Caenorhabditis elegans: one gene and its partners. The protein of the gene in region 1 interacts with the protein of each later gene in a pairwise test. Each region holds a gene or a part of one and is shown on either strand. Other genes may lie near its edges.

Region 1 (4,579 bases):
TTTTCCAAATTTTAATTTTTTTTTACTTTTTTTAGATTTTTTAAAAATTGGCATATTTTTGAAAATGTAAAAAAAAACTTTTTAATCTTTTTTTTTTTGGAAATACGATTTTATCAAAATATTTGATTTTTATTCTATTTCATTCAGTCTATATTGTTGGAAATATTTTAATTATTTCGAAAACTTTTTTTTTCCAATATTTTCTTTCTTTTCAAAAATTGGCATTTTTGATACTTTGATTTTTTCAATAATGCCAATACTTTTTAAAGTATTTTAATTTTTTCTAAATCAAAATTATAAATAAAACGTTCTTCCATCGCTACTACACAGTCACGACACTCTCAAACTGAATAAAATGAATTACTTGTAGAAATGATATCTTGTGACCGGATCATATTTTTTTGGTGCTCTTCCTGGTTCAAGTGACAACACATTCCGAGTCCAAACTTCTTTTTCCGGTCGTGAAGATTTTTGAAGCTCTGATTGTTCAGTTTCAGTGCTTAACCCCACGGAAACTGATTCAGCGATATTTTCCTCATCATCCACACTTGATCGTTCTTGTATGTCGCTGCCATCCAGTGATATTGATTTAAGAGTCTGAAAAAATATTTAAAACTTATTTTTTATAAAATAAAATGCACAAACATCTGAATCTTGACGTTCGGTTGGCTCACAGGATTCAATTTTATTATTTTTAGACTTTTTGAACATTTTCCAGCTTAATCTATGGAAAAAATCTTGAATGGAAGTCAGCATTTTTCAACAAAAAAAAAAACGAAAAAGTCAAAACCTCTGTGGCACCATTGCATGTTTCCATTGCACGATGTATGCTTCGCCACGCTCGATCGACCAGAAGGTTTCTCTCAGGATACTCGTTTGAGCTTTCATCGTCGAAATCGCTTTGTAACTCTACATTTTCGTAGATAAACCGTTTTCCTTGTCTTTCTGAAAAAAAATCACAGATTAATTGAAGAAAATCTTAAAACTTAACTCACTTCTAGAAACAATTGGGGACTGAATATTCAGATTTTCGGTTGGAAAATTTCGTTCTTGTCGTATGAATTGAGCGGCTGGATCAACTGATAATGAAGCAAATAGAGATTCATTCATAACGTCTTCATCGGCATCTGACAGACAAAGCTCTCGGTCGAGTAGATTATCAATTTCTGAAGAATACGATCTTTTATATTGGATTTAAATATTTTAGGAAAAAAAACTAACCATTCTTGAAAGTTGCAAATTGGTTTTTGTCATGTATATGGTGACCCATTTGATGAAGAATATCTTCGAGCTCGTTTTCAGTGGTAAAATTTGCCATTTTTCCTTGAAGCCAAATGCTCGATGAAGCGTGTTTTATGAACAAGGAGGAAATGACGTACACGTTAAACTACCCGTAACGTTTTGAAAATATTTTTGAGATTGTCACAATGATCTGATCAGTCACAAGATGGTGGGGTTTTTCTGTAACAACAAACAATATTGTTCGTGCAAAAAAAAAACAAATAAAAAACAAAAAAGCAAACGTGCTCTATTGAACGCCAGAAAGCGCGCCAGGTTCAAATCTTAAAAAAATAGCGCGCGCGGTGCCATTGCAAAACAGTGCGCCCAGATTGCCAAACATGACTCCGCCCATCATTCTCCTTGTTAAAAACTTTTCCGAATTTTCTAATTTTATCCCGAAAAATTAAATTTAAAATAACTTTTTTATTAAAATTCAATAATTAATGATAATGACGGGTTTTCAGGTACATGAGCGATAACCATGCTTTTGGGCGGCCGATTCAAGAAGATGGACGAGGAATTGTCGAAACTATGAGAACAGAATCCGCCGCCATTTCCAATAATTTTAATGCGGTGAATAGCGGTAAGTCTCTAAAAGCAGAAAAATTGACCAAAATTAGCTATTATTTCAGTTAACAAATCTGTTGTACAACATCTTGATGAGCTTTCACAAAGTTTCGATGAGATTTTCACTTCAACAGACCACTCCGATGTAACTCTTGTTCTCGACGATGGAACTGAATTTGCTGCCCATCGTTTGATCTTGGCTGTGAGAAGTAGCTTTTTTCGAGCTATGCTCTATACAGGTTTTCAAGAAAGCCATCAACAGCTTGTGACTCTTCAGGAAACGAATTCAGTAGCCTTCCGAGCTGTTCTTCGGTACATGTACACATCGAAAATCGATTTTGCCGGAGTGGAACTGGATATTTTGCTAGAATATCTCAGTCTGGCACATCGTTATGATTTAATTCAGCTTATGACAGCAATAAGCGAATATTTCAAGGAAATTTTGAAGAATGAGAACTTGTGTAGTATTTTCAATGCTGCATACTTCTTTCAATTCACTGATCTTATAGATTATTGCATGCAATATTCTGATAAACATGCAGATCAGCTTCTCGAAGATCCCAGCTTCAACCGATTATCAGGAGATAGTCTGAAGGAGCTTCTTGCGAGAGATTCATTTTTTGCATTAGAATTGAAGATCTTCAATGCGGTACGTTCATGGCATCAGAATAATCCAACAATGAAAGAAGCATCAAAAGTTTTGCTGGAATTGGTCAGACTTCCCCTTATAACACAAACCGAACTTCTTAATTGTGTAAGACCAACTGGGTTGGTGTCAGCTGATACTCTTCTGGATGCTATAGAAGTTCAAACACAAAGACCACACGAGATTCCATTCAGAGGATGCAAAAGTGAGTTGAATTTTATTTATTTTCTGTTTAATCTATTCCATTTTATAGGCCTCGACACGAATATAATTCCACACTATCCACACGCACAGCCATTGTCACGAGAGCTCAGCAGTCGCTACACTAATGACGAGAATATTAGTGTATTTCAAATTGATCTCGGAAAACCATTCATTATCAATACAATTATGATGGATTTTAACTGGAAAAATGAAGTTCAAGCATTTACATACCAAGTTCACGTTAGTATGGATAATCGAGTTGATGCTCATTGGAATCTAGTTGCTGATTACTCGGAATATGATTGTCGAGGAACACAAAGACTCTTCTTCACAGATTCTGTTGTGCGGTAAGTGATTGATTTTATTGTAAAATCCATTGCATTAATAGTAGAAATTCAAAAACATTTCGGCGGTTTTGGAACTAACGGGCGAAGTTTAATTGATCTATTTTTTATTCATTTTCCGAAACATTTAAAACTTTCGAAAAAAAACTACAGCGCCTATAGTAATTTTCTACAGAAAACCCGTGAAACTCGAAAATTATTCACCATAATTTGCATTTCAGGCATATTTTGATCCGAGTCAACAATTCAATGTCGTGTAAACTGGAAGGAAGTCGAATCGAAGCCATGTTCTCTACCGAAACAATGCCTGTCGAACCTGTGCACAAAGTCATAGGTATCACATTTTGCTGTGGAAATGTAATATAATTTCAATTTTCTCAGTTCCTCATCGAAACATCACAACGATAGAAAATCACGCACGGGTTGTTGAAGGAGTTTCTCGATGTCGGAATGCTCTTATCAACGGGGATTCCTCATCCTACGACTGGGATACTGGATACACGTGTCATCAAATTGGAAGTGGTCTCATCATGATTCAACTTGCTCAGCCCTACATTATATCTTCAATGCGAATTTTGTTATGGAATTGTGATGATCGATTCTACTCGTATTATGTTGCCGTATCGAAGAATCAAGACGAATGGGTTACGATTGTCGACCGCACCAATGAAGAATGTCATGGATGGCAAGAACTCATATTTGATCCTCTTCCAGTTGTGTATATTCGACTTGTTGGTACCCGGAATTCCATAAACGAAGTCTTTCACGTTGTACATCTCGAGGCTCCCTCAAACGTTCCAATTGCCATAAAATAAAACCGGGTTACAGAAATATATATAATGCATTATTTCACTTAAATGTCTGATGAAAAATAAGTTATTAAATTTATTGAATAAAAATGTTAATAATTTCTTTTGAAAAAAAACCACATACACGGACGCCACACACCGAAAATAAATTTATTTTTTTATTTTCTTTATTCTTGAAATTCTAACCGTTTTTTTCAGATTTTTGAGAGGGATGGCGAAGCGAGAACTGAGGAAAAGTCTCAAATCAGAGATAGAAAACCTATTCAAATCACCAGAACAAGCAGAACATGAATTTCAATGTAAGGGGAATAAATAAAAAAATAAATTCCAGGAAAAGAAATTAATTTCAGGTGCAACAAAAAGACGTCGATTAACAAGCTCTGAAAAACCAACCAAGTCTCCTAGTACAAGTAGTGATGATCCATCCAAGCCAAAATTAGAGTTAAGGCTGTCCCGACTAGGTGATGGCCATCGATTAGACTGCGAAAGTAATAATCCACTTTAAAATCCACAATTTTCGCATAGTTTTCCAGCTCTGGCTCAGTTTATTCACTTCAGCATATTTGGATCATCACTCCAAAAGCCCAGATGGGTCAGTCTATCCCATCATAGAAATGTCCTTCAGAACCTAGTGGTTCGTGTCAATGTGGATGACGATTTTTTCGTAAGGGATTGCATTGAAAACCTAAATCGCTGAAATCATTACAGACGACAACGAATCTAAGCTT
Region 2 (5,068 bases), about 13 Mb from region 1:
ACTTTTTTGTGGCTTCTGTGCCTCTACTCGAATTGGTGGTACAAATCCGGTATTCTCGGCTGAAAATGCAATAAATACCGCGTTTTTTACCAACAATTCGCGATAGAGCGCATTTGCCACCGGAGATGCGGAAGCTATGCCCAAATTTTCATTTTTAACTCAACAAGTTTTCCAAAAAATCGATAAAATTCAATTTTTTCAAGTATTGAGAATTGCCAGAACAATTTATATAATTATCACGAGAAGTTTCTTTTAATTTTTTTTTTTAAACTTCCGCTTCAGTGTTCATAATTAATATTAGCGTTAGTAGTATTACAATATTCTAAAAAAAAAAACAAAAAATTTTTTTTTTGAAAATATGTCTTTATTAGTCTAATGTTATATTAGCGTTAGTAACATTAATCACTTTTTTGGAAAAATTCCATTCTTTTTTTTTGAGAATATATCCTATATAGCAATGTTATATTAGAATTAGTATGGAATTTTTGAAAAATTTCCGATTTCAGTAATATAAATTTAATATAAATTAGCGTTACATTGCTAGTATGACAAATTTTCTGAACATTTTTTTTGAAATTAATTTCGTCTCTATCTAATATTAGCGTTAGTATGTAGTATTAATGATTACTTGGAAATTTTTTTTTGAGAATTTTTTGAAAATACGTCTATATTAGTTATATATTAGCGTTAGTAATATTAATTTTTTTTATTTGAAAAAATTCCATAATTTTTTCAAAAATCGTTTATTTATCTACTTGTGAGTGTTATACATATTAGCGTTAGTTAGTATTAAAATTTTCAGAAAATTTTTTTTTTTGAAAATATTTTTGTCTCTATATAATATTAGCGTTAGTAGTATTACAATATTCTAAAAAAAAACAAAAAAATTTTTTTTTTTGAAAATATGTCTTTATTAGTCTAATGTTATATTAGCGTTAGTAACATTAATCATTTTTTTGGAAAAATTCCATTTTTTTTTTGAAAATCTTTTATTTATCTAATTGTGAGTGTTATATTAGTTATATTAGCGTTAGTAATTAGTATTATTAAAAATTTCTGAAAAATTATTTTTTTAAAAATATGTTTGTCTCAATATAATATTAGCGTTAATATGTAGTAAGTAAGGATTTTTCCAAATTTTTTTTCCGATTTCATTAATATAAATTTTCTGGAAAGTTTTTGTTTGAAATTAATTTCGTCTCTATCTAATCTCTATCTAAAGTATGTAGTATTAATAAGAAAATTTTTTCGAGTTTTTTGAAAAAAACGTCATTATTAATTTAATGTTATACTAACGTTAGTAGCATTAATCATTTTTGGAAAAAATATCGTTTTTTTTTGAAAAACTATTATTTGTTAATCGAATTTGTTATTAGCGTTAACTAATGAGTATTAGTACTAGAAATATGAAAAACTTTTTTTTTCTGAATTTTTTGAAAAAAACATTTTTTAATTTTATTAATGTTGTTGATATTAGCGTTAGTAGTATTAAGAATTTCTGGAAAAAATCGATTTTTTTTAAAATTTTCTTGAAAACTTTAATGTAATATTATATTAGTGTTAGTATGTAAAATATATATTTTTTTGAAAAAAAATTTTTCTCGATTTTTTTCTCAATTTTAGTTTTTTTTTTTCAAATTGTTATATACATTATTGATTTTTTGTTGTTTTCTCTGATACATTTTTTCTGATAAATCCGTTTTTTTTAAATACATCCAATTTTTTCCCCAAATTTTTTTCTTCCTTGGTTTTTACCTGTCCTATCCTTTGGGTTTTTAACCAACCTGTCTATCTTTCTTTTTTCTAACACGCTTTTGTACTATTTTTCAGTTTTCAGGGTATTTTTTTTGGGAAAATTAAAAAAATTACAATTTTTGAAAAAAAAATTTCAAGAAATTTTTTATTTTTTATTTTTTATATTCTCCCCCAAATCAAAAATTTATGAGCATTTTCATTTCACTATACGAACACCATTTTTCCCCTATTTTTTCGCACTAAAATGCCCATTTACATAATTAATAACACCACCACCTATTGCAGTACTCACTCATGTCCACCGCCGGGACGAGAAACTGAGCTTCTTGTGCGGGAAATTTTCAACTTTTCACACATTTCTTTTTGGTTTAATTATTGGATAAAGACACAGAAGAAAGCATTCATTAAAAAAAATTGGTAAGTTTCGAAAATTAAAAAAAATTTTTTTTTTTTTTGGGAAAGTTCAAAAAAAAAATCCAAAAATTTTCTCTCATAATTTTTTTTGCAAAATTTTTTTATAATTTTCGAATTCTCCGTACCAAATAACCCCGACGCCGCGATTTTCAGCGATTTAGTGCAAAATTCCGTCAAATCAGGTGTCAAGTCCGCAAACACCAGACTACAGTAACCCAAAACACCAGATTTGACGGGAAATTGCACAAAAGGTCTGAAAATTGGGTTTTGTCTGTAATTTGACACGGAGAATTCGAATTTCATAGTTTTAAAGCGAAATGTTAGGTATGAAACTGTAAAAGTTTCGAAAATTCATCTAGAAAATAGGAAAAATCGGTTTTTGCGCACTACAAAGACCACAAACTACATAAATTTTAAGCAAAAAATCACTTGGAGTAATTGAAACGAATTTATAAGTTTTAGAGCTAAAATTCTCATTCAAAATTGTAGAAATTCAAGCATTTTTGACTTTTTTGAGCCCCAACCAAAAAATCTTGGCCAAAACTCAAATTTATCAAAATTCCCAGTGCAAAATTACCTCTATCCCGCATTTTTAGCTTTTTAGTGCATTTTTCCGTCAAATCTGGTGCCCTGGGTTACTGTAGCCTGGCTATTGCGTACCTGACGCCTGATTTGACGAAAAATTGCACTAAAATCATAAAAATTGGGGTTCGGGGTAATTTGAGACGGTGAATTCGAAATTCGTAGTTTTAAATCGAACATTTCCACCTGAAATATTGAAATTTTGAAATTTTTCCCAAAATCTAACATTTCTAGTTCAAAATCATGTCCTAAACATGAAAATTTCGAATTACGCGTGTAAATTTACCCCTATCCCCCGCTTTTTGCAGGTTTAGTGCAATATTCCGTCAAATCAGGCGCCAAGTCCGCAAACACCAGGCTACAGTAACCCAAGACACCAGATTTGACGCAAAATTGCACTAAAGCTTTAAAAATTGAGAGTACGGGGTAATTTGAGACGTAGAATCAAAAATTTTGAATGAAAACGCGAAAAAATTTAAAAAAAAAAATTTTTTTTTTTGGAAAAAATATTTATTTTTTTTTCAAAAACCTTTTAGATTCTAGCATTGTGCGTATGTGTGTGCATGGGGCTCCTAATTCGATCGAAAATATAAATTTCACACGCCAAAAACGAAGAAAACGATGGGACGCGAGGCAGGCAGCAGTCGAAGGAAAAAAAATATCAAATTTCCTATTTTTTCACCGCCTGCGTGTCTTTTTCCTCCAATTTTCCGATTCTATTATATTGCTTGAATGCTCCTTTTTCTGTGTCATTGTGCAAGTGATGCGGATGATTAATTCGAATTCGTTACGTTTTTCTGACTATGACAGCTTTTTTCACTTTTTTTTTAGAAAAAAAAATTTAGCTAAAAAAAAATTTTCAAAAAAAAAAATTTTTTTTTTTTGCTTTTTTGTGTAAAACCCCCAATTTTAAGTGTATTTCCAAAAAAAAAAAAGTTTGAAAAATTCGAGATTATCCCATTTTGACCCTAAAAACTCCAAAAATTACCTCTCTAGTACGATGCTCCGCGATTCCGCTAGGTAATTAGGTAATTAGGCAGTTTTACTGGGATTTTTATTTTTTTTTCTACTTTCTGAAAGAAAAAGTGGAGGAAACTATGTGGAAAATCAAGGTTTTTTAGAAATTTGAAAAAAAAAGTTTTCGGAATTTTTTGAAAAAAAAAAAATTTCTGAATTCACATTTTTCTGCAAAAATTCTCGATTTTTTACTCAGAAATTCGGATTTCTCGTCATTTTTCACCGCTAGCCACAAGTTTTCAGAATTTTAGCGCAGAATTCCGTCAAATCAGGTGCCAAGTCCGCAAACACCAGGCTACAGTAACCCAGGGCACCGGATTTGACGGGAAATTGCACTAGAACGCTGACAATTGCGGGATAGGGGTTATTTTGCACGGAGAATTCGATTTTTGGAATATTAAATCGAATATTTTGAACTAAAAGTGAGAAAATTGAAAATTTTCTGAAATTTACAGATTTTGAGCCCAAAATTTTGGCCCAAACTTGAAATTCTATCGAAATTGAGTTCAAATTCGAATTCCCCGTGTAAATTTACCCCATTTTTCAGCAAATTAGTGCAAAATTGCGTAAATTCTGGTGTTTTGGGTTACTGTAGCCCGGTGTTTGCGGACTTGACACCTGATTTGACGGAATTTTGCACTAAATCGCTGAAAAATAGGGGATAGCGGTAATTTGGGACGGGGAATTCGAATTTCGTAGTTTTAAATCAAAAATTTCCACCTGAAATATATAAAATTTGAAAATTTCCAAAAAATCTCTTTTCAAAATTCCGTCAAATCAAGTGCCAAGTCCGCAAACACCACGCTACAGTAAACCAAAACACCAGATTTGACGGAAAATTGCAGTAAACCTCTGCAAATTGATGGCTAGGAGTAGTTTTGCACGGGGAATTCGAATTTTGACTTAATTTTTCGAAAAATTTCAGTTTTCCACCAAAAATTTCGCAATTTTTCAGCCAAAATGCTGCCGAGAATGCTGAAAATGAAGACGGTGGGCACCGTTTTGGCAGTCATTTGGCTGTTTGGATTGGCATTCATTTATGTGCAATCTACGAGCTCAAGCTTAAGGGTGAGTTTCTTAAAAATTTGAAAAAATTGAAATTTTTGTGAAAAAAATTTCGAAAAAAAAAATTTTTTAGAAAATTTTCAAAAAAATTTTTTTTTTCAAAATTTCAAAATTCCACTAAAACACTCCAAATATGACTAAAAACTACAATTCCCATCATTTCCAGCCACCGGGACGTCATCCACCACCACTACCACAGCTCGACCCTTTAATACCCCAAAACCCGCCGCAAAAC
Region 3 (3,450 bases), on another chromosome or scaffold:
AATTAATTCATCTATCACTTTCATACAAAAACTTGCGTAAAAATAAGCAGGCGCGTGCCACCCTAATTATGGACCACCTTGTGATAATTCTTCTTACCGTTCGTTTAGAACAACAGCAACATATGGCCTTTCCGAGCTTTTGTCTCTGAAGGAACAAACGCATTGGTCTTGGAGCCACACTTGCAGACACAGTTGGAACTATTTCGACATTATGAAGAGGGGATACTGGTGCCATGACTCGGTCAAGATGAAAATGCCTTATTTTGGGGAGGAGGACTTTACTGACGAAGGAAACGATATTTCGAATTGTAGTTCATTTTTGGAGGGGTAATCTTTTGTTGACGTTGTGAGTGCTTCTTCATAAAAATAGCTTATATTCGCTTTCTGATTCACATTTTGCAAGACCTCGCTATTTTCATGAAACCTTTATTAGATACAAAAAATGATCAGACCAATTTATTGAACATAAGGGGAACAAAGAAAATGGCGAGGAGGATGACCATGACCAGAACCACAGCTGCAAAACGCCACAGACAACCGTCTTCGTGCTGAATTTCAATATATGGCATATTGCCAATTTTCTCTAAAGTTAAAACTAAGCTTCAAAGTTTTAATAGAAATTTGAGCTATTCAAATAATTTTCTATACATTATTTATATTTTTTTTAACTTGACTTACCAATTGAACTGCCCATAGTCTAATAGAATCCCAGCTGGTTTGTCTTCGACGATAGGCAATTGTTTGACTACGGTCAACTACGACTCGAAAATGCATTTTCTTTTGGAAAAGAGCGGGTTGAATCGAATATGGAATTAAAATCTAAATTGCATCATTCTTATACTTGTACTTGTACTCAGATTTCTCCGGATTTCCGTTTGTTGCGCGGTCCGAGAGTTTAATAATTGTAATCCAATTAAAATTTTACGTAGGTGTTAGTTTTTGTAAAAGATTGAGAACAAAGAAAAGAATTTATTATCACAACTATAAGTAATTAAACACCTAGATTTGAGAGCAAAATTTATACGCAGTCAGCAGGATTCGAACCTACGCGGACAGAGCCCAATTGATTTCTAGTCAATCTCCTTAACCACTCGGACATGACTGCTTCTCCTTTGTATTTTTCGCATGCTATTAAACATTCGGAGTATGCTGAACCTCAACTATATCTTCCGAAATTTGTCGTTTCACCTGATCGTAAACAAAATATTGGTACCACTGTGCAGTCATGTCCGAGTGGTTAAGGAGATTGACTCGAAATCAATTGGGCTCTGCCCGCGTAGGTTCGAATCCTGCTGACTGCGAATTTTTTTGTTTTTTTTTTCATTTTAAAACAGTATGTATATTGAATTTTTCAACCGATATCGGTTTCCTATTCGATAATTTTTTTGATTGAAAAAATACTGGCTCTGCAGCTCGAAAGAGTGGCTTAATATTAAACATACTTTAGGAAGTAACCTTGAAATACATTTTGTGCGAGATATTTGTGCGAGATACATTTTCCGAATTCCTATTTTGTGTGTATCTCTAATTGGGGCAAATTTCTAATAGTGAACGCGCTATTATGCATAATGATCTTTAAAAAAAGAGCGAATAAGATATAATTTCAATTCTTCTATTATACACGATATTTTCTTCTTTTTGATTATCATTATCTCTGACTATGTACAACTTATCCTTTTCTCTTTGCACCTTGCCTTTCTCTTTCTTTTCTACTCATTCAATCACTACCACTCATCACACAAACAAACTGTTCAGCATGCTGCGTCTCTTCCAAGCACTATCTTTTTGTCAATCTTTTCGGTTTTTGCGGTACAAATAGACCTGTCTAAAATTCTGTTGTTTTTTTTTTGTTTTGTGGTTTTTGATATCGATTTTTACTATGTATGAATTTTTCAGCACACCATGACAGAAGAAATAAACGACAGATACCAGATTCCAAAACACAACTTTTTCACTCCTGAAGACGCAACGACCTGGGCTGTTATTCATAGAGCACGATTTTGGGTATGATTTCTTTAACAACATATGTTTTTTTTGATTGTCACGAAAATTTCAGAACGACCGTTTTCAAGACTTGTTGGATTCTGAAAAGGTTTTAGTTTCAAAAAATGTTCCGTTCAAAGTTCTTAACGAATACAGCAGTGATCTCTCAACAAAATGTCTCAAAAAATGTGAAGCTGAAAGAAAGGAAGTAAGTTTCTGATCTGATAGCAGGGAAATCTTTTTCAACTCTGATAGCAGTTGAAAAAGTGAGATAGGCTCCAATTTAGCATGAAGTTATAATTAAATAGATAGTTGACGAAAACTCAAAGTTAAAAGAAGTGAAAGCCAAGATAACTGTAGAATATGTTAAGTAATATTTTTGATTTTTTTTTCAAAAACACTGAACAACAAATAATTAAAATGTGGAGTACTTTATGTAGAACTATTCTCTATTTAACTCTATTCAAATCTTTAAAAAATTGAATACAATATAAAATTGAGAGAGTTGTTCGTAGAAGTTTCGTAGTCACATCCCCCTTGAATGCTGTCTCCAATCTTATAAAAAAGTTTTTTTTCAGAACATTTTGCAACAAATACAGTTTTCGGAAGTCCTCCAAAGACACCAAAAACCAAACTTATTCGGAAATTCAATCGTTTCTCTGAGAATGCTAAATTCTCTAGAAATGAACGTAAGTTATGGGATAAAACCTATTGGTTAAATGAAATTCAATTTTAAACTATTTAGGAAGTGCACAAAAAGGCGTTGAAACGTGAAATGCCAAAGCTGTTGTCAAGTGAAAATGATCAAAATCTGAAACGGCGCAAAGAATGAGTCGTTGCAAATTGTTAAAACTTTTTTGTTTTTCTGTATTTTCATTGTTACCTTGTTGTTATTTTTACTCACTTTATCTTTAGTTTGCTCATAAATTGTTTGCAAATCCTACAACAGTTCTCTCAAAGTACACAATCAATACCAACTCCGTGATTTGTACCGATTTCTGTCGCAGGTTGTCAACTACTCTTATCTGTTTTCTTTTCCTGCGTGTCTTGTCTCTTATTAGACCATTTAGTTTATTATCTATTCATTTGTGTGTCAATACCTGGCCACTGACTATGCTTTCGCCGAACTTCTTTTCCTTACTGTGCATTTTTCAGGGATGGTGCTTGGAACGGTAAAAGCCAAAGCAATCAGGTGGTTGGAAGACAATAGAGGTTTAGTCATTGTGCTGTTCTGTTTACCAGCTAGCTTTGTGAGTTTTTGTTAACTTTTTCAAAATTGATACGTTAAATCACATGGAAGAACATGAAGTTTTTGAATATTTGAATTTGAATTAAAATTTCGTGGTACCTATAATTTAAAATTGAAAAAGTTTTCAAGTAGAAAAAAAACATTTTTTAATGATGAAGTAGCGTGAATGGGAATATAGCTTTAAAACACCCAAAATAGTCTGAAATTCAGAAATACCA

What was found.
Region 2: the proteins of hpo-9 (region 1) and gly-4 interact in a two-hybrid assay, tested with the Caenorhabditis elegans proteins (one large-scale study listed by BioGRID).
Region 3: the proteins of hpo-9 (region 1) and Y7A5A.2 interact in a two-hybrid assay, tested with the Caenorhabditis elegans proteins (one large-scale study listed by BioGRID).

The regions. Positions count from the first base shown.
Region 1 is NC_003283.11:7,234,297-7,238,875, reverse strand, and holds hpo-9 (BTB/POZ domain-containing protein 9), read left to right. Parts: upstream 1-1,745; 5' UTR 1,746-1,749; coding exon 1,750-1,864; intron 1,865-1,913; coding exon 1,914-2,699; intron 2,700-2,747; coding exon 2,748-3,045; intron 3,046-3,263; coding exon 3,264-3,376; intron 3,377-3,423; coding exon 3,424-3,857; 3' UTR 3,858-3,954; downstream 3,955-4,579. Other genes in the region: Centriolar and ciliogenesis-associated protein hyls-1, read right to left, coding at 365-597, 791-945, 996-1,166, 1,222-1,318; C05C8.5 (Exonuclease domain-containing protein), read left to right, coding at 4,063-4,150, 4,202-4,339, 4,385-4,515, 4,560-4,579.
Region 2 is NC_003283.11:19,892,323-19,897,390, reverse strand, and holds the start of gly-4 (Polypeptide N-acetylgalactosaminyltransferase 4), read left to right. Parts: upstream 1-2,040; 5' UTR 2,041-2,172; intron 2,173-4,723; 5' UTR 4,724-4,728; coding exon 4,729-4,836; intron 4,837-4,999; coding exon 5,000-5,068. UniProt on the Caenorhabditis elegans protein: Catalyzes the initial reaction in O-linked oligosaccharide biosynthesis, the transfer of an N-acetyl-D-galactosamine residue to a serine or threonine residue on the protein receptor.
Region 3 is NC_003284.9:15,771,182-15,774,631, reverse strand, and holds Y7A5A.2 (uncharacterized protein), read left to right. Parts: upstream 1-1,896; 5' UTR 1,897-1,902; coding exon 1,903-2,004; intron 2,005-2,056; coding exon 2,057-2,191; intron 2,192-2,561; coding exon 2,562-2,672; intron 2,673-2,728; coding exon 2,729-2,815; 3' UTR 2,816-2,924; downstream 2,925-3,450. Other genes in the region: Y7A5A.13 (uncharacterized protein), read right to left, coding at 447-548, 679-774; Y7A5A.1 (Delta(24)-sterol reductase), read left to right, coding at 3,141-3,233.